Struthio camelus: one gene and its partners. The protein of the gene in region 2 interacts with the protein of the main gene of each other region in a pairwise test. Links are inferred from orthologs where the notes say so. Each region holds a gene or a part of one and is shown on either strand. Other genes may lie near its edges.

Evidence for each region. The genes of interacting proteins can lie anywhere in the genome.
Region 1: the proteins of CEP76 (region 2) and AKAP7 interact in a two-hybrid assay, tested with the Homo sapiens proteins (3 studies listed by BioGRID). The two-hybrid records come from large-scale screens. The link is inferred for Struthio camelus from reciprocal best matches to the Homo sapiens genes CEP76 and AKAP7.
Region 3: the proteins of CEP76 (region 2) and THRA interact in binary tests that used the Homo sapiens proteins (3 or more experiments, as listed by UniProt). The two-hybrid records come from large-scale screens. The link is inferred for Struthio camelus from reciprocal best matches to the Homo sapiens genes CEP76 and THRA.

The regions. Positions count from the first base shown.
Region 1 is NC_090944.1:71,235,229-71,242,524, reverse strand, and holds the start of AKAP7 (A-kinase anchoring protein 7), read right to left. Parts: upstream 3,011-7,296; 5' UTR 2,994-3,010; coding exon 2,915-2,993; intron 2,771-2,914; exon of another isoform or gene 2,481-2,770; intron 1-2,480. UniProt on the Homo sapiens protein: Probably targets cAMP-dependent protein kinase (PKA) to the cellular membrane or cytoskeletal structures.
Region 2 is NC_090943.1:113,582,857-113,590,833, reverse strand, and holds the start of CEP76 (centrosomal protein of 76 kDa), read right to left. Parts: upstream 3,010-7,977; 5' UTR 2,948-3,009; coding exon 2,885-2,947; exon of another isoform or gene 2,797-2,884; intron 1,198-2,796; coding exon 1,042-1,197; intron 718-1,041; coding exon 636-717; intron 266-635; coding exon 41-265; intron 1-40. Other genes in the region: PSMG2 (proteasome assembly chaperone 2), read left to right, coding at 3,227-3,301, 4,743-4,914, 5,743-5,801, 6,751-6,869. UniProt on the Homo sapiens protein: Centrosomal protein involved in regulation of centriole duplication. Required to limit centriole duplication to once per cell cycle by preventing centriole reduplication.
Region 3 is NC_090966.1:6,798,806-6,806,683, reverse strand, and holds the start of THRA (thyroid hormone receptor alpha), read right to left. Parts: upstream 3,011-7,878; 5' UTR 2,860-3,010; coding exon 2,807-2,859; intron 1-2,806.

The DNA of each region.
Region 1 (7,296 bases), on a different chromosome or scaffold from region 2:
TGAAGTTCACTATAGATAACAGTAACAACAAATGAACGTCAATGTAGATAAACAACGACAAATGACTTTCAATATAACCACATGGAAAACGAGGCAAAAAGGAGCAGAAAGGGAACCTTCCATTTACATATAAAAACAATGAGTTCTCAGATGACTATATCATTCAGGAACGAGATGATTACTCTCTTCCTCTTCTTGCAGATATACACAGCACGGTGTGCTACAGACAACAGTGATCTGAACCTGTGGTTCTAAAAAGTTAAATTTTAGCATTTAAGCTAAAAAAGGAACCAATGTAACTCACAATTCATTTTGCATGTATAAGGATTTATAGATATACACATACACAGATCTATCTTCTAGCAGTACCACAATTAAACTAAAAAGCTATAAAAAGTCCCTCTGCACTCCCTCAAAGAGTACTAACTATGCATGAGTCATTTCCATATATAACTTATACCTTAAAAAATAAAATACTAAAATCTCCTCTAGCATATTTCATAAAAAATTTGGACATAATCAGAGATCCAGCAATATTCCTTTGGGACAACTCCACAATGGGATTACTGTAGTGGAAGAAGCGTTACGTCAGAATTCAGTTTATCACAGGACAGCTCATTACTACAGACAATACACTTTCAAAGCTCCTCTTGTGACCAGTGCCGATATTCCAAATCTGCCCCAAGGGGAAAATCTGGCAGCAAAAGTGCGTATTATGTTCTCGTGGCATGCAAAACTACATTGCATGTATGCAATGGTACAGACTCAACCTGGGTTATTATCACCCTGGAGAGATTTCTTGCATATATCATTTTGTGCTAGGGAAGATAATTAATAGAACAATCTGATTAAGGGCTAACTCATTTCAGCCTGAAGTAGGGAGGCATAAATCACTCTGTGGTTGTAGCCTGACACCTCAAGTTATGCCAGAGGCTGTTAAAGAGAATAAGTATTTAGACTGGTTGCTAGTTCCCCCTGCAGACACTAAAGAATCATGCAGAACAAAGAGATTTTAAAGCAGCAATATATTTTTTGCCTAACATTTAGATTCAAATGCAGCTTACACAAAACAGATTAGAATCCCTCTATTGTTGCCGATTCACAAGCATACAGAAAATAACAATCCTTCCTTTAAAGAGATCACAATCTAAAAGACAAGACCAAATCCACAAAACAGACAAACAAGAAGGTCACTCTGCGGCAGTTACCAAAAAGATTCAGAAAGGCAAAACGATAGCCAGCTGAAAGCAAAAATCAACACTGAGGGTGAGGTTCAACATTGTGGGTTGAATCGATCTAACAGCTCACTGAGGCCAAAGGAGGTAGTCCTGCTCCCTTTCCCTGACCCCAGCCACATGCTGGTTAGTCTTCTGACTGCTTAAAAAGCTGAAAAACTCCGTCTGCTCACAGTAATAGCTTGGCATAGGAAGGGCACAGCTAGTATTTAACAACGGCCCTCCCCAAGTCAAGTACCTGAATTTAACAGGCACTGCTTCTAAATCCTACAGTCCCAAGGAAATAACTCCATCCCTCACCTTTTCTGAAATAAACTGTTTATGAAAGAAATCAGTAACAAAATTCAAAAGTTGTATTTTAGTCACTAAAACAAACCGAAAACAAGATTCTTCAAAAGTCTTGACATAATGTTGATAATACGAGACATAAGTAACAAAATCAGCTTCCATAGGAACTGTCTGAGCATTAAAACTGTCAAAAGATAAACTTACTTTTAATTCCATGACTAACTACATTAGCCTGAACTTCATATGTGAACAGGACTCTACAGTACTGTTATATTTGTATTTGCTTAAATGGTTGCTGTTTGCTTGAATATTTGAGTCCTCTGTTCCATTAGAATCAAGATACACCTAGTTCACAAATCAGAGAATAAAAAAATCAAGCAGCAGAAACGGCTGTCTTGCTTTTTAAAAGATAACTGATTGTACTCCTTTCCCAGCCTTTTGCCCTCTCAGATAAAACAGTCTTCTATTATTTGACATCTACACATTAGAGACTACAGTGAGGTTAGGTCTCCAGGCACTATTCCCTTATGTTTAATAACAAATGAATCTTTTGGAGACATTTTAACTGAAAGCTGCTGCAGAAGAAGACCGTTTTACTCTCCAGACATCTTGAACCGCTGGTGCTAGCAATAGCAATTACACAGCCAGAGAACTGACTCAGCTTAAAAAAACTTCCTCTAAAAAAAAAAAAAAAACTTTGGTAGGTTTAGTACTCAGCCAGATCGGATGCTTAAACTGACTGCAAGCCTGGGGACAGAGTACAGCAAGCACAGAAGATGAAAGCAGAAGCCCTTTTTAGCAACAGCCTACGACTGGACTGAGTCAATCTTCCCTGTGATCGCTACTACCACTGCTGCGAAATCTAGCTCCTCCTGGCGCTCAGTGTGAGGTGCGCAGGCATGCCTGTGCGCGCGCGCACACACGTCTTCGGATGAACTCCTCTGCACCATGTTTCACCTGGGTTTTAAAGCTGTGCGTAACTTGACCGTTACAAGGCGACGGCGCATTAACACACGTTAAAACCACTCCAGGTCACAGCTCGCCAGGACTTTCTGCTCCGCTGCGATCGGCAGACGGCTGCCATTAACGGAGGCACCGTGAGGGCCGGGAGCGCTTGCCTTGGACACAGGCCGGGCCACGCCACGGCACCTCCTCACGTCGGGCCCTGCCCGTGGCCGGGCCGGCGGCGGCGAGCCCGCGCCATCGCCGCACGCAGGGCCCCTGGCAGAGCCCCCCCGAGCCGCGCCGCCCTCCGGCGGCGGGGGGCGGGGAAGGGGCCTGGCGAGCGCGGCCGGCGCCGGCCTCCGTCCCCCCCGCGCCGCGCCGCGCCGCGCCGCGCCGCGCCGCGCCGCGCCGCGCCGCCCAGCCCGCCGCCGCCTCCTCCTCCTCACCGTGCTCGGGGGACTCGCCGGCTGCGCGCGAGGCGCCCGCGCCGCCCCCCGCTCCTGCCGCCGCCGGCCGCAGCGCCATGGGGCGCGGGCGCGCGGGCCGAGCCGGCGGGGCGAAGAGGGCGGGAGCCGGCGCCGCGGCCCGCGCGGGGCAGAGCGCCGGGAGCAGCCGCCGGGAGCAGCCGCCGGAGCAGCCGCTGCATGCCCCGGTAACGGCAAGCAGGCCGCGCCCGCCGGGCGGCGACGGGGCGCGACAAGGGCCAAAGGCCGCCACGGCGCCTGTCGGGCAACAGGCGGCGAAAGCCCCGGGCGGCAGCGCGCGGAGGGAGGCCGGGCGCCCCGCGCGGACCACAAGCCCCAGCATGCCGCGCGCGCGGCGGCCCGCGCGGGGCACGGCGGGAAGGCGGCGCGGCGGCCGCGGGGCGGGTTCGGGGATCGGCGGCGGCGGCGGCGGCGGCGGTGTCTCGGCCGCGGGAGGGGGTGCGGGGCCCGGCTGAGCGCCCAGGGCCCGGCCCGGGCCCGGCCGCGACGGGCAGGCGCAGCGCCTGGAGGCCTGGGGCCGTGGCGGCTGCCGTGCGTGCGGCTGGGCCCCACCTAGGCCCCGGGGGAGTTTGGCCCTCCCTTCGGCGCGTACGTCCTGCCCGTGAAGGGGGGGAGGCGGTGGACGCTGATCCACCAGAGCCGGGCTGCCTTGGCCACGTCTTGGGCAGATTCCCTACCCTTCCTCTTTCCGTACCTTAAACTCCATAGCGTTTTTTTTTTTTTTTTTTTTTTTGGCTGAGCCATCCTATACCCAGTTGAAGGCATCTAGATATTGTGCACTGAAACAGGAAATATATATTTTTTCCGTGCGGAATTTAAACAAAATTTTTACTGCATTCTGCTAAACAGAATGCCCATAACTAGTCAGAGTATTTTGAGGTGATGACTCTTCAAATTAACCACTTGCACCTTAGGACTACTCAAAGAACTTTACAAACCAAAGCAATGATTTCCATCCTTTTAGCTGTGGTCCAGGGAGAACAGATAGTCTTGCATTAAACATCCATCCTTTATGTGGTCATCCAGCCTTCTAACATAGCTCTGGGCCACTCTTACCATTGGCAATAATGCTCCTACTGTGACTGCACAATCTCCTATTGGGAATGAACCTTTTGGGTGTACGTGAGAGGCTGTTTCTCTGAGGCAAAGGAATGCAAGACACTATTTTCCTACTTAAATAAAGACTTTGTGCCTCTTGGAAGCCAAATTCTGTTTCTACATTCTGTGGAAGAAGCCAAGCCAAATGTTGCCTTGTGTTTCTGCAGATCAGTCTCTGCATATAGACCAGATCTGAAGGAGCTGATTGTTTACATGCATATACAAATCCTTACTTTCACTTTTAAAGGGAGTAGGGATGGCAAAAAAAAAAAAAAGCCACAGAAGGGAGGAAGCTGCATGCACAAGCTGCATGTTACAAGCATTTATGTGTGAGTTTCTGTGTTTGGCTTGTCTATGCATTCCCCTTCTGGAAGATAAAATCTGTCTGGGGGTATCTCACTGCTAGTTTGGCCTATTTCATGTTGCATTTGCCTTCACTGTCTTTCACACATGAATTTGGTCTGCACAGACCTATGGAGCCCAAAGACTGGTTGTGACACAGAAATCAAAGTTCTGTGTAATCTGACAGAAGCTTTAGTTAGGATAAGGCTGATGGCAATTTTCCATATTATGTGTTTCACCTAAATATCAGCTATCCTTAGGAAACTAAATGTTTTAAGTGGTCATCTCTTGAGTGAGTAAAATATGTCAATAAAAATTTGATTCTATGAAGTTATAGATCAAATAACAGGATAAACTTTTGGTATTAGATGTCTTTGTAGAAATACAAATTTAGAAAATGGTTTTGGATCTGAAACTGCTCCCAGTCAAATCACTAGGTATTTTGCTGAAATCTTCAGCACACTCTAATAAGAACATTTCTGTTTGTATGGTTGACAGGGCAGTACAATGCAATATTTAGATAAGTTAGCATTTAATATTCCTCATAGCAGTGGAGGAAAACATAATGCATTTTTAGCAGAACTAAAATTATACCTAGCCAATACCCACTAACATAGCACTAATTTGTTGATGTATCCTTTGGGTTCATAAGATGGCTGAATAAACCTTTTCAGGAAGTGAGAAATTAAAAGCACATTAGCTGGAGCTGATAATTGTTATCATGAATTATTCCTACAAGTCATAGAAGTGGCTGTGAGGAAAAATTCTCATCTGAAGACTGTAAAGCTAAATAACAAGCACTGATTTTTCTGCCTGCCCAAATACAGCACAAGTTTAGTGGTCACTGATCAGGTGCCTCATTGAAGCAAACCACACAGGTTTTTATCACTGCTTAAGTTTGCATTAAAGCCAGCACTTTATCAGTTTTACTCTGGTCTTGCCTTTATTAAGAGTTTCTGCTTAAGTTTTCAGTGAGACAGTTTTCCCTTTGAGGAGACAAAATTCAGAACTCCCAATGAAAGCTGAGTGACACTAACAGAAAGAGGAAGCACAGCCAGCCCTACCAATGTATTTGCTTAGTACAACCACACTGCCCATGCCTGTAAGCATCTCACCCATCTTATTGTTTCTTAATTCACCTGGTAATTTCAATCAAATTTGGCAGAGAGTAAGAGGACCCAGAGGAGGATGTTCCCATACCTTTCCTGAAAATGAGTGGTTAGGAAGGAGAGAGACACTCATAGGGAGAAGAGAGAAACAACACTGCCTGTCTGTGTTCCAGTAAACCGTGGCTGGCCATGAGTATTGATCAGCTTTTTAGGTCACAGGTAAGCAGTCGCAAAACATTACCTCTTATCTCAGCCAAGCAAGAGATATGGGGGAGCTAAGGGTATCTGGGGCACAACTGACTTGCGGGAGGTTAGGAAATAAAGGGACAGGAACTGGAAGATTCTATTACAGGAAGATCTAAATGTTGGAAGAGAACATTGGGATATTTTGTGGAATGTGGGACGGAGTTGAGGATATTCTAAGGCATGGACAGTATAGGGGAAGCTTGAGTTATTGTGACAAGAAAGGAGGACATATTTGGTATGAAACAAGGCTTTGTTACTATTGCTGCTGACACAAAAACTTGTTTTCTGACAAATGAAGAAGAGGAATTGAGCATGATCTGATAATAATAAGAATTTACTACAGAACAATGAGAAGTGTAAGCTGCAGAACTACAGATACCAGAAAATGAAAGGTAGTGGAGTGCCTGACATAAAGTAATTTAGTGTGAGATCGAAAAGCAAATATTGCTAGGGTTTCTGCAGTAACCAGTGTGAATGGAAGAAGAGCATGAAGATGCTATCGGTTGTAGTTTAATGTTTAATTGGCGTCTAACATGAATATGAAAATTAATGTGGAAAATATTAGCATGTGTGGATATTTTCATGATCTGTTAATGATAAGCAGTTCGTTTATATTGCAGGAGGGGAGAACAGAATGGAGAATCCACTGAAAATTTGATTATCCAGAGCAGCAGTTCTTAACTTGCTACCATTTGGATGAGAGCCACTGCCTAAAGATCAGCATGCATACTCAAATACCATTAATGTCAAGGCATTGTTTCAGACACTTCCAAGTTTCTTCCCACAGATACATATCCTTCTCCTTTTTATGTAGTGCCCACCTATCAACATAAAAGTATCTTCCCACATTTGCTGTCCTAAAGTTTACCTGACTTTTCAATCCTCTTCTTCCAGCCTTTCTCCTTTGTTGAATATCTATATAGAAGCAGAAGTAGACACTACCATATGGTCTTTTTGTTTTACTATTCCCTGTTGCCTGGCTGAGCTCGTTTCTTCTTTTCCAAGTGATGGAAAAGGATTTTAACTTCACTGTCATGTCTCTCATTCAAGGGCTTTATTTGACAGGATATGGAGTTACAGCTCCACAGGTCCTCTGCTGTCTATGGGCAGTGAAAGAAATTGGTGAGAAAATGCTGCTTGCTCACAGGAGCTGTGGTCATATCGCACATGGCCTGTTCCTAAGGACAGCAAATACTGGCCCCAGAGTGTGCTTTTAGCCAGTAGGCCAAAGTCTGGGAATCTGTTACATTTTGAATCAGACTGTTAACATTTTGTTGCTTATTATGGACATGGTGATACTGACATGGGAGACCCAGAGTGGATTAGGAGCTCTGGGGACTAGGGTGAAAGGCAACAAGGCCCAAGTGGTTCTCCTTGATTCTGCCAGTCACGGGGAGAGGCTTGGGCTGGAGCAGACTGTGCAGCTGTGTTACCAGCAAGATTCACCTGACAAAGTGGGACACAGGTGTCTCTGCCAACAGGCTTCCTAGCCTTCTGAGAAGAGCTTTAAGCTGAGTTATTGAAGGATGGAGACCTAAGCTGGAAGAG
Region 2 (7,977 bases):
TAAAAAACGGCATCCACTGCAAACTCACAGTCTTCCTTACCCAGGCTATCCTTGTGTACTTCAAGTAAAAAACCATCATGAAAATCTGGCTCACAGGCACAGGGGACAGGTTTAGAACGGAAGCGCTGATTCCGAAAATGCAAACACAGAGTGAAGGTAGAACAGATTTGGCCAGGCAAAGGCTCCGGTTCCTGAAGATGTTCCAGAAAAGCTTTTCCGCCCAAAACCTGAAGGTAAAGATACCTCCGTGTTGGGTTAATATTAGCTGTAAAGCGTAGCAATAAATATGAAGAAACTACAAACAGATCTTAGGAAGTATGTTTAAAATATCTGTTATCTAAGTGGAGAATAGAAAAAAAAAAAAACTCTTTCAAAACAAGTGCTTAGGGGAAAGCAATTTTAAAACTTATGGAAGATAATATACAATAAATGCTATTTTATGTGCAACTAACTTCTGCTGTTTATATGAACCCACTTGCATCTAGACAAGTAAGAAAAACATCTATTTCTGCACAATATGGAAACTTTAAATGAATCCAATTCGCTCTGTAATATTAATTCAAAGAGCTCAATAAACCTGCACTTAATTTATTTTAAAACTATAATCCAAACATTAAAATAAACAAGCAACATACCTTTTTTCAGAACTGGTGGTTCTCTGTCAACAAAATGCGTAGATGGCTTTGGAGCTGAAGTCCTCTCCTTGTCATTCACTTCCTGGAATTGCAATTAGACTTCTTAAAGAATCAAGTGAGGCAACAGTGCTATTCCTGTTGTCTCTTAAAAATTAAAAGAATTCTCTCTTTCTACTGACTGTTGTTTCTCAAATATATTGCCTTGTAGGATTTAAGATGTAAGGGAACTGAACAAGTACTTTCAGTGTAATATTAACACTAAACCAACTCAGTACTTACAACTCAGTAAAGCTAATATAAGCACTTAGAAGTAATTGAGTCTGCACTTTATAGTAAAAGAGCTGTCATAACATCAAGTCGATAATAGGAATAACCAAAATACATTCATGTTTCAAAAGCTACTTACAGTTACAAATTTAAGCTCTTTAATAACATCATCAATGATTCCTCGCTGTCTTAAGGCTTTTATCAGGTCTTCCGTGGATAACTGTTGATGCTCAGGTGCAAACTCTTCACGTATAGTCTCAGCAAGAACTTCTCTGATCTTGCCATGAACATCCATCTGAACAGAAAATTCATCATATGCTAGAAATACATGTTCAAACTCTCATAAGCTTTGTAAATAATACTTCTTAATAACCCCCACAGTATTTAAATTCGCACTCAGCTGTATCACAGCAGAATGCAAGACTGGTCTCTTCAAACTTATTTTCATTTTCCTCCTTGATTGAGGCTTAAGTATGATAATAAGAATAAAAGAAATGAAGCTCCTTATATGGTCACAGTTAGCACTAAAACGTTTCTCTGTAAGGTAACGGGTATTCTCCTAGGAATACAGAGATAACTGCACCAAAAGAATACCTCTTTCTGCACATAAATGTGTACCAAACAACTTTTTATTGTTTAGTGAGAAGTACCGCAGCAAGTCACACTATCTCACCAAAGCAACTGCACCAGTTAAGAGCATTCCAAACCTGAGCATTTCCACTGCTTGTGACAGCATCCCCAGCCTCGAACATCCCTTCTCACCAACAGCCCTGCAAATCCATTGATTATAAAACTTCCATGCTTTTAATTTCTCTTCTCCCTCAAAATTCAAACTTATGGCAATGTGTGTATGGGAAATAAACTGAATGTTTTTGATCAGGTACATCCACCGTCCTATCAGCCCTGATGAGCCTCCACTAGCTGAACAGCCCAAGCCACTGTATCCTTATCGCACCATAGGATGTGTCTTCAACCATCAAAAGTTCTTTGGAAACTGTCAGCCCTCTGATGCTGTGGAGGTCTGCGTGTTTGACCTGCAAGATGAATCTAAATGGAAACCCATGAGCGGAGAAGCAATAAAATCTGTGTGTTCCCCTGGAACAATATCTTCAATTCCTCCTTTTCCTCCTCTTACTTTTTACAGAAAGGAAAAAAAAAACTTTAGATTGTTGCAGGTAAGGCATACAAATAGGGAGCCTCCATCGCAAGCTTTTTCTATGATCATAAAGCCAGAATTTCTGTACTTCGATGGCTCAGCTGTGAAACAGCATGTATTCCTAAAGTTGTTTCTCCCACAGGAACGATGCAAGGCTATAGCCACTGAGACACTGCGATACTTCCGCGATGCGAGCTAAAGCACTGATATTTCTCTCCCACTGTTTTCAAAACCCCGCCCTAGTTTCTCGCTCAACAAGCGGCGAGCAAACAGACGGCCTCCCGGTGCCTCCGGCCGCCGTGGCTCCCCCCCTCCCCCCGCCGCCTCCTCTCACAGGGCCGAAAACGCCGCTCCCCTCCGCCGGCCCTCCACGGGGCAGCCCCGACAGCGGGAGCGCCAGCACCGGGGGGGGGGGGGCGATGCCAGCTCCATCGCCCAGAAAAGGGGAAACGAAGGGAAAGAGCGAGGACGGCAGGAGAGGGCGGGGAAAGGCCGGAGGCCAAGGCGGCCGTTAGACCAGAGCGCTGATCCTCGCAGGCCCTCTTGGGGGGAGGGGGGGGGCCGCAAGCGCCAACATGGCAAAACAGCACCTCGGGAAGTACATGAACCTGCTGAAGTACGGGGGGGGGGGGAACAAAAGGGATGGGCGAGGGAGCGGACACGGAGCTGGAGGCGCCTCCCCCGCCTGGGCGGGCATCGCTGCCTCCAAGGGCCGGGGGGTCCCTATCACCGACGCACCGGGGATTTCTCCGAGTAGACGAAGTCGCTCCGCGCTCAGGACGGGCCCCAGTGCCCGGGGGCCTCTCCACCTTGTTACCGCCCTCACCTTGACCAGCTGCTGGTGGATGAGCTGCTTCAGCTCCGAGGCCTTCTCCGGCGGTAGCGACATGGCGGCGGGACGAGCCGCGACGCCCCGCACTCCGGCAAAGGGGCGGGGGGTGGAAGACCAGGCCGCCGGCCTGCGCGCCGCGGGCTAAGCCCCGCCCCCAACCGCCTTTCTAACGGCCGCCGCGGCGGGCCCGGCCCCGCCCCCTCGCGGGCGGAGCAGCGAGGGCGGCGGCGGTTACGGCCGTTGCGTTGGCGGCCGTGCTCGCCCACTCGCCTCACCGGGGGAGGGGGGGAGCCTGAGGTAGGAGGAGGGGGGCGGCTCTTTTCTCTTCCTGCCGGCATGTTTGTTCCGTGTGACCATGGCAGCGGCGGCCCCTCCGCCAGCTCGGACTTTGACGGCTTCACTCTGCTCGTGGTAAGTGGCCTTGCTGCTCCCCTCCTCTCGCCGAGGCGGCCGTGGGGAGGTGCTGCCAGAATGGAGCGCTCCGGGGCGGGGGTGAGGGACGTGCTGCTGCTCGAGGCCGTGGCTCTCGGGGCGGGGGGGGGGCTTCCTACAGCTGGGGCCTGAAACAGCGTCGGAGGCTTTGGCGGGCGCGGACGGGGGCTTGTCCGCGCGGCTCGCTCCCGCTTTGGGGGCGGCAGGCCGGGGACGCTTTCCTCTCCCCTGTCCGGAGGTCGGCCCCGGAAACTTCTCAACGGCCTGGGGGGAAGGGGGGAGAGAGGCTATGTACACTAGTCTTCAGTGGCAGATTCCTTAGCTGTGCTATATTTAAGCTGAGCTTGGAATTGGTTTAGAAAATACTTTAATAATTTGTAACGTGAAATCGATGTAAGATTAAACTGCTAGAGGTTACTTTGTGTATTGTAGGGTACGAATTCTAGTACAGGCTGTGAAGTAGCAAGCCGTTATTTTTCCTATTAGTAAGTGCCTTTACTTTATCATCTAAGGGTAACCTTATCGCCTTTCATCAGGGCCAGATCGCCCCTGATGACTGTGCATATTTACATGAGGTACAAGATTTTATACAGGAAGTCATTCCAGATCAGCTGACTGGGAACAGGAAATAGGTCATTGCTATTTTCTTTGTCTAGGAATAACAAGCTGTTGAGCACCAGGCAATTTGTAATGACGGTCTGTAACTGCTGTTACATCCTTTTTCGCTCTGAGGTTATCGGCATCAAATTCCTTGTGTTTCCAGGATTGCTGGCCCTTGGGCAGCAGCAGTTCATAGGCACGGGCTTGCTTATAAATGAGTGGGAGGCAACTGAAAATTTTACAGTTGTCTTCCATTTTCAGCTTCTGTAGAAGGACACAAACTCGCAAACTGAATTTTTCCTTGTATGCTCTCAGATTGGGTCAGCATCAGCTTTGATTGGTGATAACATATGCTAATTTACTTGTGTTTTTAGGACAATCTGGTATTTATAGATTTAACGTGCAGTATCGGCATTGCCATTCACTGTCACTTTGGGGCTGCCAATCTCTGCATTAGATTTTGGAGTGATTTTTATCTACTCTGTAGCCAAAAAAGGGGGGATTGGGGAGGACACGAGGACACCAGTCTCCAAGCCTTTTTTTTTTTTTAAGTTTATAATGAGACAGGATTATTGACAGAAGCAACCAGTATGTATTTGTGGCATAGGGACCACATTATATATTAGTAAGCTGTTAACAAGTAGTAACTTCTGTAAGAAAATGGTGCCACTTTAAGAAATCATATGGTTAACCGGAATTCAGCTAACTTAAGTTTTCACTGTTTGCAAAAGCATGCTGTATTGTCCATAAAACACGCTGCAATTCTTTAAGTGAATTATGTCTTTACTATTGTAATGCTAAAACACTTCTGTTACTTCAGCCAGCAGTGTCAGTGGGAAATGTTGGTCAACTGGCAATAGACCTCGTGATTTCCACACTGGACATGACTAAAGTTGGCTACTTCTACACTGATTGCCTTGTGCCAATGGTTGGGAATAATCCATATGCAACTGCAGAAGAAAACTCAACGGAGCTGAGTATAAATGCTGAAGGTATGTATTGAATGCAAGCTAGATCTTAAATATTTGCCTGTAGAAAGCAGTTGTAAGAATGTTTCTCCTTTTTTTTCTTACCTTTTAGATGAAGTTCAATAATAACTTTTGTAACCAAATCTCTGACTCGCAGATAAGAATGTAAATTTACACTTTGTGGAGGAAACTTACTTTTGTTATTTTGCATAAATAGTTTGAAACATGGAACCGGTAAGAAATGTTGAATCTCAACCATATTACAGTGCTGCTGAATCTCTCTGCAGTTTTAATCCTAGATAATGTGGAAAGTGTGTCCATACCTACAGTAAAGCATGGCATGCAAGCTAAATTAGAGTATAAAAGGATATTCGTCCTGTCTTCTTCCTTCCCACCTATCTTTGCCTTTTCCTAGTGTGGAGGGTTTTTTTTTTTCTTTTTTCTACCTTCAAGTTTTCACTTCCTTTCTGTGTCTTGATCATAGCATTTCAAATTATATTGTTTTTTCCTTTTAAATCATGGAAATCTCGAGATAATCTGTCGTAATCTCTGCAAAGCTGTATAAAGAGTTTATCTGAGTCACTGCAGGAGATAGTTTTTGTTTTGTTTTTAATAAATTTTTACTTCATTCAATCCTTTGTTTTTATGCCAAGTGAAATTAGATTCAGTGAAGATGATGCACAAAAATACGTATTTTTTTACATTACTGAAAAGCCTGAAATAATTCACAATTTGGTAAGAGAGCTGAAAGGTTTACCTCAGATTTATGGATTGGATAAATCTGGATACTTCTAAGCTCAGATCCTTTTTTTTTTTTTTTTTGTTATGCACTGTTTTATTTTCTCCTTGTAGTGTATTCATTACCTTCAAGGAAACTTGTAGTTCTGCAGATCAGATCACCTTTTATAAAGGTACGTATGTTCATTGTTCTCACTTCAGTGTTCAAGTTCAGTTGTTCTACTGGCCAGTAGTTTTCAAATGGTCTAGAAGAATTTACTCTATTATAATATCTTAAAATAAGCACAACTGAAAAAATTCGTGCTCCCTATTATGAAATAATGTCTTAACAGCAAAATATACATTTTAAAAAAAAAGCAAAATGTTTTTCTGCTTAGTGATATAACGTCTTCCGTAATTGATAAAATTTTAGCTAACAAAAGCTGTCTCCTACATTCATTAATGGTTGAGATTTGTTTGTTTGCTTGTTTGTTTCAAGCTCTGAAACAGCTCAGCTAATTCAGTAGAATTTAGTGAAAATATGTCCTTAGTTATTAACTGTCTTGACAAAACAATATGGTCTGTTTCCCGCCTGTTTATTTTTCTCTTCATATTTATTGTTTTTGTGTATTTGTCTTTTCTTAAATAGCTTAATTTTTGCTGTCACCCCCATTTATTTCCTGCTGTTCTCTATTCATTATATATAAACAGTTAAAATTAACTGTTAACTGTATAGTGGCTGTGATTTAAAATGGGCAGAACACCACACGAGAGTAAATTGTGTTGTAGTATTTTTGGCAGTTTAAATTGTGGGAAAATACTGTGGAATTTTATCATCCCATATTGTTCTAAAGGTTTTCCCGTTGATATTAATGGCACACAGAATGAGTGATACAGTTATTATTAATGTGGTTTTCATAATTTTTATAATTATACATATATCTTTGATTAAGTAAACAACCAGTGTCCTCTGCTTTTTAAAAATATATCTGAAGACTGAATGGATATGAAGAAAAAAAAATTTCCTCACTGCTGAACACTAAATATAACATCTAGTATTGTAGACTTGTGGCTTTTCTTAAGGGCATGAATTTTTTTTTTTTTTTTTGGTCTCTCCTCCCCCCCCTCTCTCTTTGCGTAAAGAACAAGTACAGGCCATTCTGTCAAGCACTGCTTTCTTGGGTGCAAACCAGCAAATGTGCTAGAGTTATTCTTCTGTCTAGCAGCCATGCATACCAGCGCGATGATGAGCAACTTCTTGGGTATGTGTGTGTCCTTAAATGATTTGATTGTTTTTTCTGTTATTTTTGGCAAACTGGCATATATACTTAGTACTTTTTGGCAGGGTTCTTTTGCTTTACTGTGTAGGTAGATCATAAGATACTTAATATATTATTAAAATAGTGTGTTATACAGCATTAGGCTCTGAGCTTTGTTAGTCTCCTGACAATGCTGAGCAAATAATATGCCATAAGTAAATTTCTGCTTGGCCTGCACCATCAGCCTCGATTTTAACAACTTAGTTTGTTATTGCTGCAAGCGCTGTCAGGGATTAGCTGCTAACATACAGCTCACCGATTAGATTTTTAACGTTTAGTTAGAATATTTGAATTTCTTACCGCTTCTTAATTATTCTGCATTTTGGGTTTTCTTTTTTTAGTAAGGTATCTTTTTATAGGCAGTTACCAATACTTACCTGCTAGGAAAAAACTACACAGAGTTTTATTAGGTGTGCCTCCCCCCCCACCCGTTAAACAAAAGAAAAAGCATAGCTTGATGATCGAGGCCTTGATAATCTATGACTTACCAAAAAAAAAAAAAAAAAAGTATTGTTCAAAATGAACAACTCTTATCACCAGGGTGTATAAATGTTCAGAGCCCTGAGGAGGTCTAGGTCTATGCATGTTCTAGATATAGTTACCATTGATTTTGCATAGAGTTTCTAGAGTGGTCAGCAGACATGGACTGAAATGAGGGAGACTGATGGTTACTTTATGTATTCCGAGTTCATCAGTTGTGGTGACTTACTCTGAATAAGTCTGATACCAGAGAGACACTAATGAGTGAAGGTAATGCATTAAGGAAATACTGAAAGACTTAACAGAAGTCTGCAGATATTTGTAGTTTAAGTTTATTACAAACATTATATCAAAGTGAAGCCCAAGCTTACTTTAACTAACTTTAATTGAATAAATTCCCATCGGAAGGAAGAATAGCCACCATTTCTTTTGTAAATCATTTTAAGAAGCCTATAACAGTTCTCCTATTTAAGTGCTTGTATATTTGATACCCTCTTTTTAGATGCCCAAATTGGCACGTATCTTGAATACTCAGGGGGAAAAATAATGGCTGAGCTTTTTTAATGCTTCT
Region 3 (7,878 bases), on a different chromosome or scaffold from region 2:
AACCAGGCCCCTGCATCCCGTGTCCCCGTGTCCCCGTGCAACCAGGCCCCTGCATCCCGTGTCCCCGTGTCCCCGTGCAACCAGGCCCCTGCATCCCGTGTCCCTGTGCACCCCGTGTCCCCGTGCACCCCGTGTCCCCGTGCAACCAGGTCCCTGCATCCCGTGTCCCTGTGCACCCCGTGTCCCCGTGCAACCAGGCCCCTGCATCCCGTGTCCCCGTGCACCCCGCGACCCGTGTCCGGCCAGCCGCTGTGACAGGGGCACCCCTCACCCCGCGTGTGCCCATGTGGGCACGCGTGTGCCAGCCCCCGGCCCGGGGCTGGTGGCACGTGTGCAGGGGGACACGCGTGGGCCGGCCGGGCCACGGCATCCGGGGGGGATGGGCGAGGGGTGGGGGAGGGGAGGGGAAGTGAGTGGGGGAGGGGCGGTGCGGGGGAGGGGTGGTGGGGGAGGGGACGGGAAGGCGGTGGGGGAGGGGCTCATTTACAGTCAAAGACAAAATGTCCTTTTGGCTCAGCGGGGAAGTGACATCACGGGGGCTCGGCCAATGGGCGCGGGCGGGGGTCCGCGCCTCATCCGCACGCCACCAGCCCATTGGCTGCCGCGCCGGGCCCGGCCGGGCGGGGCTGGGGCATCGCCCCCCGCCCGGGGGGCCCAGGCGTCCGGGGGGCGGCGGGCGCCCAAGGTGACCCCGGCCGGGCCCCCCGGGCACGTGCGTCTCTGGGCAGCGCTCCCGAAATAGCCCCGGCGCTGGCGGGGCCCCCGGACGCCTGGGCCCTGCCCGTGGCCCTCCCCCTCCGCAGGCACGGCTGCAGGGAGCTTGGGCGCGCACACGGCATGCACACGCACGGGGCACGGGCATGCACAGCGCACGCACACGCATGGGGCACGCACACGGCATGCACACGCACGGGGCACGGGCATGCACAGCGCACGCACACGCATGGGGCACGCACACGGCATGCACACGCACGGGGCACGGGCATGCACAGCGCACGCACACGCATGGGGCACGCACACGGCATGCACACGCACGGGGCACGGGCATGCACAGCGCACGCACACGCATGGGGCACGGGCATGCACAGCGCACACACACGCATGGGGCACGCACACGGCATGCACATGCACGGGGCACAGGCATGCACAGCGCCCGCACACGCATGGGGCACGGGCATGCACAGCGCACACACACGCATGGGGCACGCACACGGCATGCACATGCACGGGGCACAGGCATGCACAGCGCACGCACACGCATGGGGCACGCACACGGCATGCACACGCACGGGGCACGGGCATGCACAGCGCACGCACACGGCATGCACACGCACGGGGCACGGGCATGCACAGCGCACGCACACGCATGGGGCACACACACGGCATGCACATGTACGGGGATGCACAGCGCATGCATACAGCACACACGTATGGGGCACACACATGCATGGCGCATCGGTATGCAGGGGGCACGCACACAGCACGCACACGCATGGGGCACAGGCATGCATGGGGCATGCACACAGCACACACGCTTGGGGCATGGGCATGCATTGGTGCTGGGCGTGCATGGGGCACGCACATGCATGGGCACTGGGTGTGCACAGGGGACAGGCATGCTTGGGGCACACACATGACATGCATATGCATGGGGCACACACACACATGGGCACTGGGCATGCACAGGGCACGCACACGCATGGGTGCTGGATGGGTGCGGGGCATGAGCGTGCACAGGGAACGCACACGCATGGGTGTTGGGCATGCACATGCATGGGCGTTGGGCACGCATGGGGCACGCACATGCATGGGTGCTGGGCACGCACAGCGCATGGGCATGGACAGGGTACGCACACAGCACGCACACACATCGTGTTGGACATGCATGGGACACACACACAACATGCACACGCATGGGCGTTGGGCATGCACGGGGCACACACGCCTGGGGCACGCACACGTGGAGCACGGCCGTGCATGGCCTTTGGGCACGCACAGGGCATACACAGAGCACGGGCACGCCTGGGGCACAGGTTTGCATTGGCTGCAGGCGTGCCCAGGCTGCAAGTGTGCGTGGGACACGCGCGGGGCAGGGGCTCGTGCGGGCTTTGGGCGTGCACGGGGCATGCGGAGGACATGGGCTACGAGCATGCAAGGCACAGGCGCGGCTTGCAGGCGTGCATGGAGCACGGGTGCGCACAGGGCACGGGTGTGCACGGGCTGCGGGTGTGCACGGGCTGCAGGCACGCACGGGGCGCAGGTGTGCACAGAGCACGGGTGTGCAGGGGCTGCAGGCGCGCATGGGGCACAGGCGCGCATGGGGCACGGGTGTGCATGGGCTGCAGGCACGCACGGGGCGCAGGTGTGCACAGAGCACGGGTGTGCACGGGCTGCAGGCGCGCATGGGGCACAGGCGCGCATGGGGCACGGGTGTGCACGGGCTGCAGGCACGCACGGGGTGCAGGTGTGCACGGGCTGCGGGCGGGCACGGGGCGTGGGTGTGCACAGAGAACGGGTGTGCACGGGCTGCAGGCGCGCATGGGGCACGGGTGTGCACGGGACACGGGTGTGCACGGGCTGCAGGCGCGCATGGGGCACGGGTGTGCATGGGCTGCAGGCGCGCATGGGGCACGGGTGTGCACGGGACACGGGTGTGCACGGGCTGCAGGCGCGCACGGGTGTGCACAGGGCACGGGGATGCACCGGGGCGGACACGCGCGGGGCACGGGGGGGCTCGCCCGGGGCTCCCGGCTGCCGCAGCAGAGGGGCAGCCGGCGGCGCGGCGGGGGGCCGGGGGGGGCCTCACCGGGTGTCCTCTGGCTCCGACAGCGGGTCCAGGGTGCTGGGCTTCTGTTCCATTCACCGCAATTCCATCAAGGAGCGCTCAGCACCGTCCGAGGGGGCTCCGCCACCGGCGCTGGGCGCGGGGGGGCCGCGGCGGGCGGCTACGACGCGCGCCCCATGGCGCCCGCCTCAGTGCTCAGCTCCGCGCAGCATCCCGCGGCCCAGCCTGCGGAGGGAGCCCGCCGGCGCCCGCTCAGGCCTGCACCGAGCTGCGCGAGGCCTCAGCGCGCCCCGTGCGCGGGTTGCGGGGTTGGGGGGGGGGGGGGGCCAGGCGCGAGCGGGCCGGGCTGAGCCCCGACGCGCTCGGCTCATGCGTGGCCCCGGCACCGGGCGGGGGAGACTTACGGCGGCGGGGGCCGGCGATCCCTCCTGGGCGAGCTCTCCTGCGGCAGAGACGTGGCGGCGGTGGGGGCCGGGGCGGGGGCAGCGCCGCCCGACCCCCCCCCCCCAAACCCCTCCGCGATGGGGGAAACTGAGGCAGGTGGCGGGGGCCCCCCGCGCCGCCCCGGCCCCCCCCCCCGCACGCGGTGCACGGCTGCGTCCCCCCCAGCACCGGGGCGGCGGCGGGGGGCCGGGCAGGCGCCGTGCCCGGCCCGCGGGCTCCTCCGGCTCCGAGCGGGGACAGGCAGAAAGTAGGTCACGTTTGTCTTGGCCGCGGCAGAAATTCCTCCGGCGGATTTAAAGCGCGGCTGCGGCCGGGCCGCGCCGGGGCACCGCTGCGCCGGCACCGGGGAGCTGCCGCGGGCCCGGACGGCGCCGGGCTCCCCTGCGCCTGCCCCCGGCCGGGGCTCGCGGCCGGCGCGACCCTCCCCATGCGTCGCACGAGGCTCTCGCACGAGGCTCTCGCACGAGGCATGCTGCATCGCCCCGCGGCACGCCACGCGCCTGCGTGCATGCCCGCCCGCCGGCGGCCCCGGACGCCTGGGTCCCCTGCCCAGCTCCCGCCCCGGGTTGGGGCTGGGGGGGGGGCACAGCGCCCCACGCACGGCACTCCAGGCCGGGCTTTGGGGCCGGCCGCGGGCGGTACCTATAGAGCCAGCGCGGCGCGGCGGCCGGGGGCTGCAGCAAATGTTTGTTCCATATGGGAACGCCGCGCGGAGACTTCCAAGTATAGGCACTGGCTGGGTGCCAGGGCTGCGCGCGGGCCCGCCGCCCCGCGGGCACCCGGCCCCCCCGGCCGGCCCCCGGGGCCCAGGAGTCCGGGGCGGCCCCGTCCCTGCTGCGGGGACCCGGCCAGCAGAGCCCTGACCCGCTCGGCACACGCGTGGCGCTGGCAGATGCCCGGGAAGGTGCGGCGCCGCGGGGTGAGGGGGGTAAAGCCTGGGCTCAGGGCGGCTGCGGCGGCGGCCGGCGAGCTCCGGGTGCCGAGGGCCGCGGGGCCGTGTGCCGCGGTGCCCGCAGGAAGCGGCGGCGGCGGGCGGGCTGCGGCGCTCGAGGAATCCCGCCGGCGCGGGGCGGCCGCGGCAGACGGACACGGGGAGGCGGCTCTCCTCCTCCTCCTCTTCCTCCTCGGTGCGCCGCGGGCCCCGTGCCACCGGCACCGTCTCCCGCTGCCTGCGGGCAGCAGAACGGGCCACGTGTAACGAGCGCCGTCAGGTCTCAGCCCCCCGCGGCGCTGCCCGGGCTGAGGCCGGCGGCAGTGCGCGCGGTGATGCCGGGCGCCCCGAGCCCCCGGGCCGGGTGCTCCCGCGCGGCCGGCGTCGCTGCCGGGACCGGCTGGCCCAGGGCGGGAGCGCGGGGACCCGGCGCAGCGCCCGCAGGACCCCGGCCCGCGCCCACCGCCCGGCCCGCGCCCCGCCGGGGTTTCTGCTGAGTCGGGCGCTTGCAGGAGCTGGAAAACAACCCGGGGGCAAAGTCCAGGGCTGGGCCGGCGGCGGGAGCCGCGGCACGCGGGGGGCACGGCCGGGCCGCGCCGGCACCCGTGCCCGGCCCCGCGGCGCCCCGGCCAGATGGGCGCCGGGGTCCCAGGCGTCCGGGCGCCCCCTCCCCCCGGCCCAGCTGCTATCTGGGTCACGGAGGTGAGGGCCTAAGCGCTTTAGCCAAGGTGCCAATTAGCGCGATTAGCGCGGGGCTGGGGGCAGGGCGCCGCGGCCGGGCCCCCGCCGCCCGCCCGGGCACCGGCACGGGCACCGCCACCGCCGCTCTGCAGCAGCGGCTCCGGCTGCGACCCGCAGCGGCGACGAAAGGGCCGCGGGAGCCCGGCGGGGACGGACGAGGGGCATCCGCGGCGGCGCCTGGCCCACCAAAATGCACCGCCTGCGCCCTGCACGGCCCGCTCCCCGCGCCTGCGTCCCCGTGCGGTGCAGCGGGTGCCCCATGCGGCCCGTGCAACACGTGTGTCCCGGCGCGGTGCAACGCACCCAGCACAGCCCGGCGCTATCCGTGCATCCTGCTGCGGTGCAATGCACCCGGCACAGCCCACCACTGTCGTACATCCCGGCGTGGTGCAACGCACCCGGCAGAGCCCGGCGCTATCCGTGCGTCCTGCTGCGGTGCAACGCACCCAGCACAGCCCGGCACTATCCGTGCGTCCTGCTGCGGTGCAACGCACCCAGCACAGCCCGACGCTATCCGTGCGTCCTGCTGCGGTGCAACGCACCCGGCACAGCCCGGCGCTATCCGTGTGTCCTGCTGCGGTGCAACGCACCCGGCACAGCCCGGCGCTATCCGTGTGTCCTGCTGCGGTGCAACGCACCCGGCACAGCCCGGCACTATCCGTGCATCCTGCTGCGGTGCAACGCACCCGGCACAGCCCGGCGCTATCCGTGTGTCCTGCTGCGGTGCAACGCACCCGGCACAGCCCGGCGCTATCCGTGTGTCCTGCTGCGGTGCAACGCACCCGGCACAGCCCGGCACTATCCGTGCATCCTGCTGCGGTGCAACGCACCCGGCACAGCCCGGCGCTATTCGTGCGTCCTGCTGCGGTGCAACGCACCCGGCACAGCCCGGCACTATCCGTGCGTCCTGCTGCGGTGCAACGCACCCGGCACAGCCCGGCGCTATCCGTGTGTCCTGCTGCGGTGCAACGCACCCAGCACAGCCCGGCGCTATTCGTGCGTCCTGCTGCGGTGCAACGCACCCGGCACAGCCCACCACTGTCGTGCATCCCGGCATGGTGCAACGCACCCGGCAGAGCCCAGCGCTATCCGTGCGTCCTGCTGCGGAGCAACGCACCCGGCACAGCCCGGCGCTATCCGTGCGTCCTGCTGCGGTGCAACGCACCCGGCACAGCCCACCACTGTCGTGCATCCCGGCATGGTGCAACGCACCCGGCACAGCCCGGCGCTATCCGTGCGTCCTGCTGCGGTGCAACGCACCCGGCACAGCCCACCACTGTCGTGCATCCCGGCATGGTGCAACGCACCCGGCAGAGCCCAGCGCTATCCGTGCGTCCTGCTGCGGAGCAACGCACCCGGCGGTGCCCGACACTGTGTGCACGTGCCGGCACAGCGCACGCACCCGGCGCTGCGCGTGCTTCCCAGCGCGATGCCCGTGCCCGGCGGTGCCCGGCCGGCACCGGGGCGCCCGTGGCAGCGGGGCCGCGCGGCTGCGCGTGACTCAAGGCCGCAGGAATCCCAGGCATGCGGCGGCAGCTGGGCAGCCGCGCGCCGGGGGATGCCATGCGCCTGACATCAGGGCCAGGGCGACCCCGGGGCACCCCGAACGCCGCGGCCGGGGGCGCCCATCCTACCGCGAACCGCGGCGGGACCGAGCCGCAGCGGCAGCTCCGGCTGGACGCCCGGCTCCGAATCCCGCCCGAGCGCAGCCCGAGCGCTTTCGCATCGGCCTCGGTTTCCCCGTGCCGCCGGGGCGCCGAGGGGAAGCGCGGCAGGCGGGCGGGCGGGCGCGGGAGCTGCCGCGCTGTGCCGCGCCGCCCCCTCGCACGCCGGCGCGGCAGGATGCGGCCGGGCCCCCCCGCCGGACGCCCGTGCCCACCGCGGGCGCCCCCGGCCCGCGCCGCCCCGCGGCACGCAGCACCAGCGCGGCGGCGCCCCCGGGCTCGGCCGCGGGGCGCCTGACGCGTGACGAGCGGCGGCGGGCTCAGCGGCGGCGGCCGGCGCGCCCGCGGGTGCCGAGCCCCCGGGGTGCCCCCGGGGGGGCCGGGCCGGGGCCGCGCGGGGCGGCGAGCGCACGCAGGGCGCCAGGCAGCTATTCTGAGCGCGCTGGGGGAGGGGGGCTTGGCAGGGCGAGCGCGGCGTTGCTAAATCGGGGAAGGAGCGGGGGCTCCGGCTCGCGGCCGGCCGGGACGCCTGGGTGCCCGCGTGGCCGCCGGGTGCCCCGGCCGGGCGCCCGCCCCGACCCCCGAACTCTGGCCGGCCGGGGCGGGCGGGCGCGTGCCCGACGGGAGCCCCCGGCTCCCTCGACGGCTGCCGACGCCGCTCGGCACGGCCGGGCCGGCACCCCGGCGTCCTGCCTGCGCCCGCCTTCGCCCTCATCGCAACACCCTCCTCCTCCTCCTCCTCCTCCTCCAGCGCCTGGAAGAGGACCCAGGCGTCCTGGCCCCGCCCCCCCCCCCCCCCCGCATTTAAGGCATTAAACAACACACCCCGCGCCCCACGGCAGCCGGGGGTCCCGCGGGGCCGGGGCTGGGCCCCCGCGGCCGCCCCGTCCCCTCCCGTCCCGTCCCGGCTGGCGCGCGCCTGCTCCAGGCTTTCCCGGCAGCCGCGGGAAAGTGCGTGGCGGAGCGGGGAGGGGGCCGCTTCCTGGTGCTGCGCCCCCCCGGAAGGGCCGGGGCCGGGCGCCCGCGGCCCCGCAGCACCCCGCGCGCAGGGGGACGCCCGCCGGGGGCGGCAGGGGGGCGCCCGCCGGCCGCCGGGGCTCGCGCCGCCCTTGGCGTGAGTCCGGCCCTGCCCCACGGCGCAGCGGGGGTGGCCGCGGCGGGGGTGCCAAGCACCCCTGGCCCTCGCCGGCGCGGGGACCACTCGGCACCGGGCTGCAGCGCCGGCGCGCCGCGCAGTCGCCCGCGCCGGCCCAGGGGGCTCCGGCCGTGCCCCCGGCAGGTGTCCGTGCAAGGATGCACGCGCGCGTGCAAGG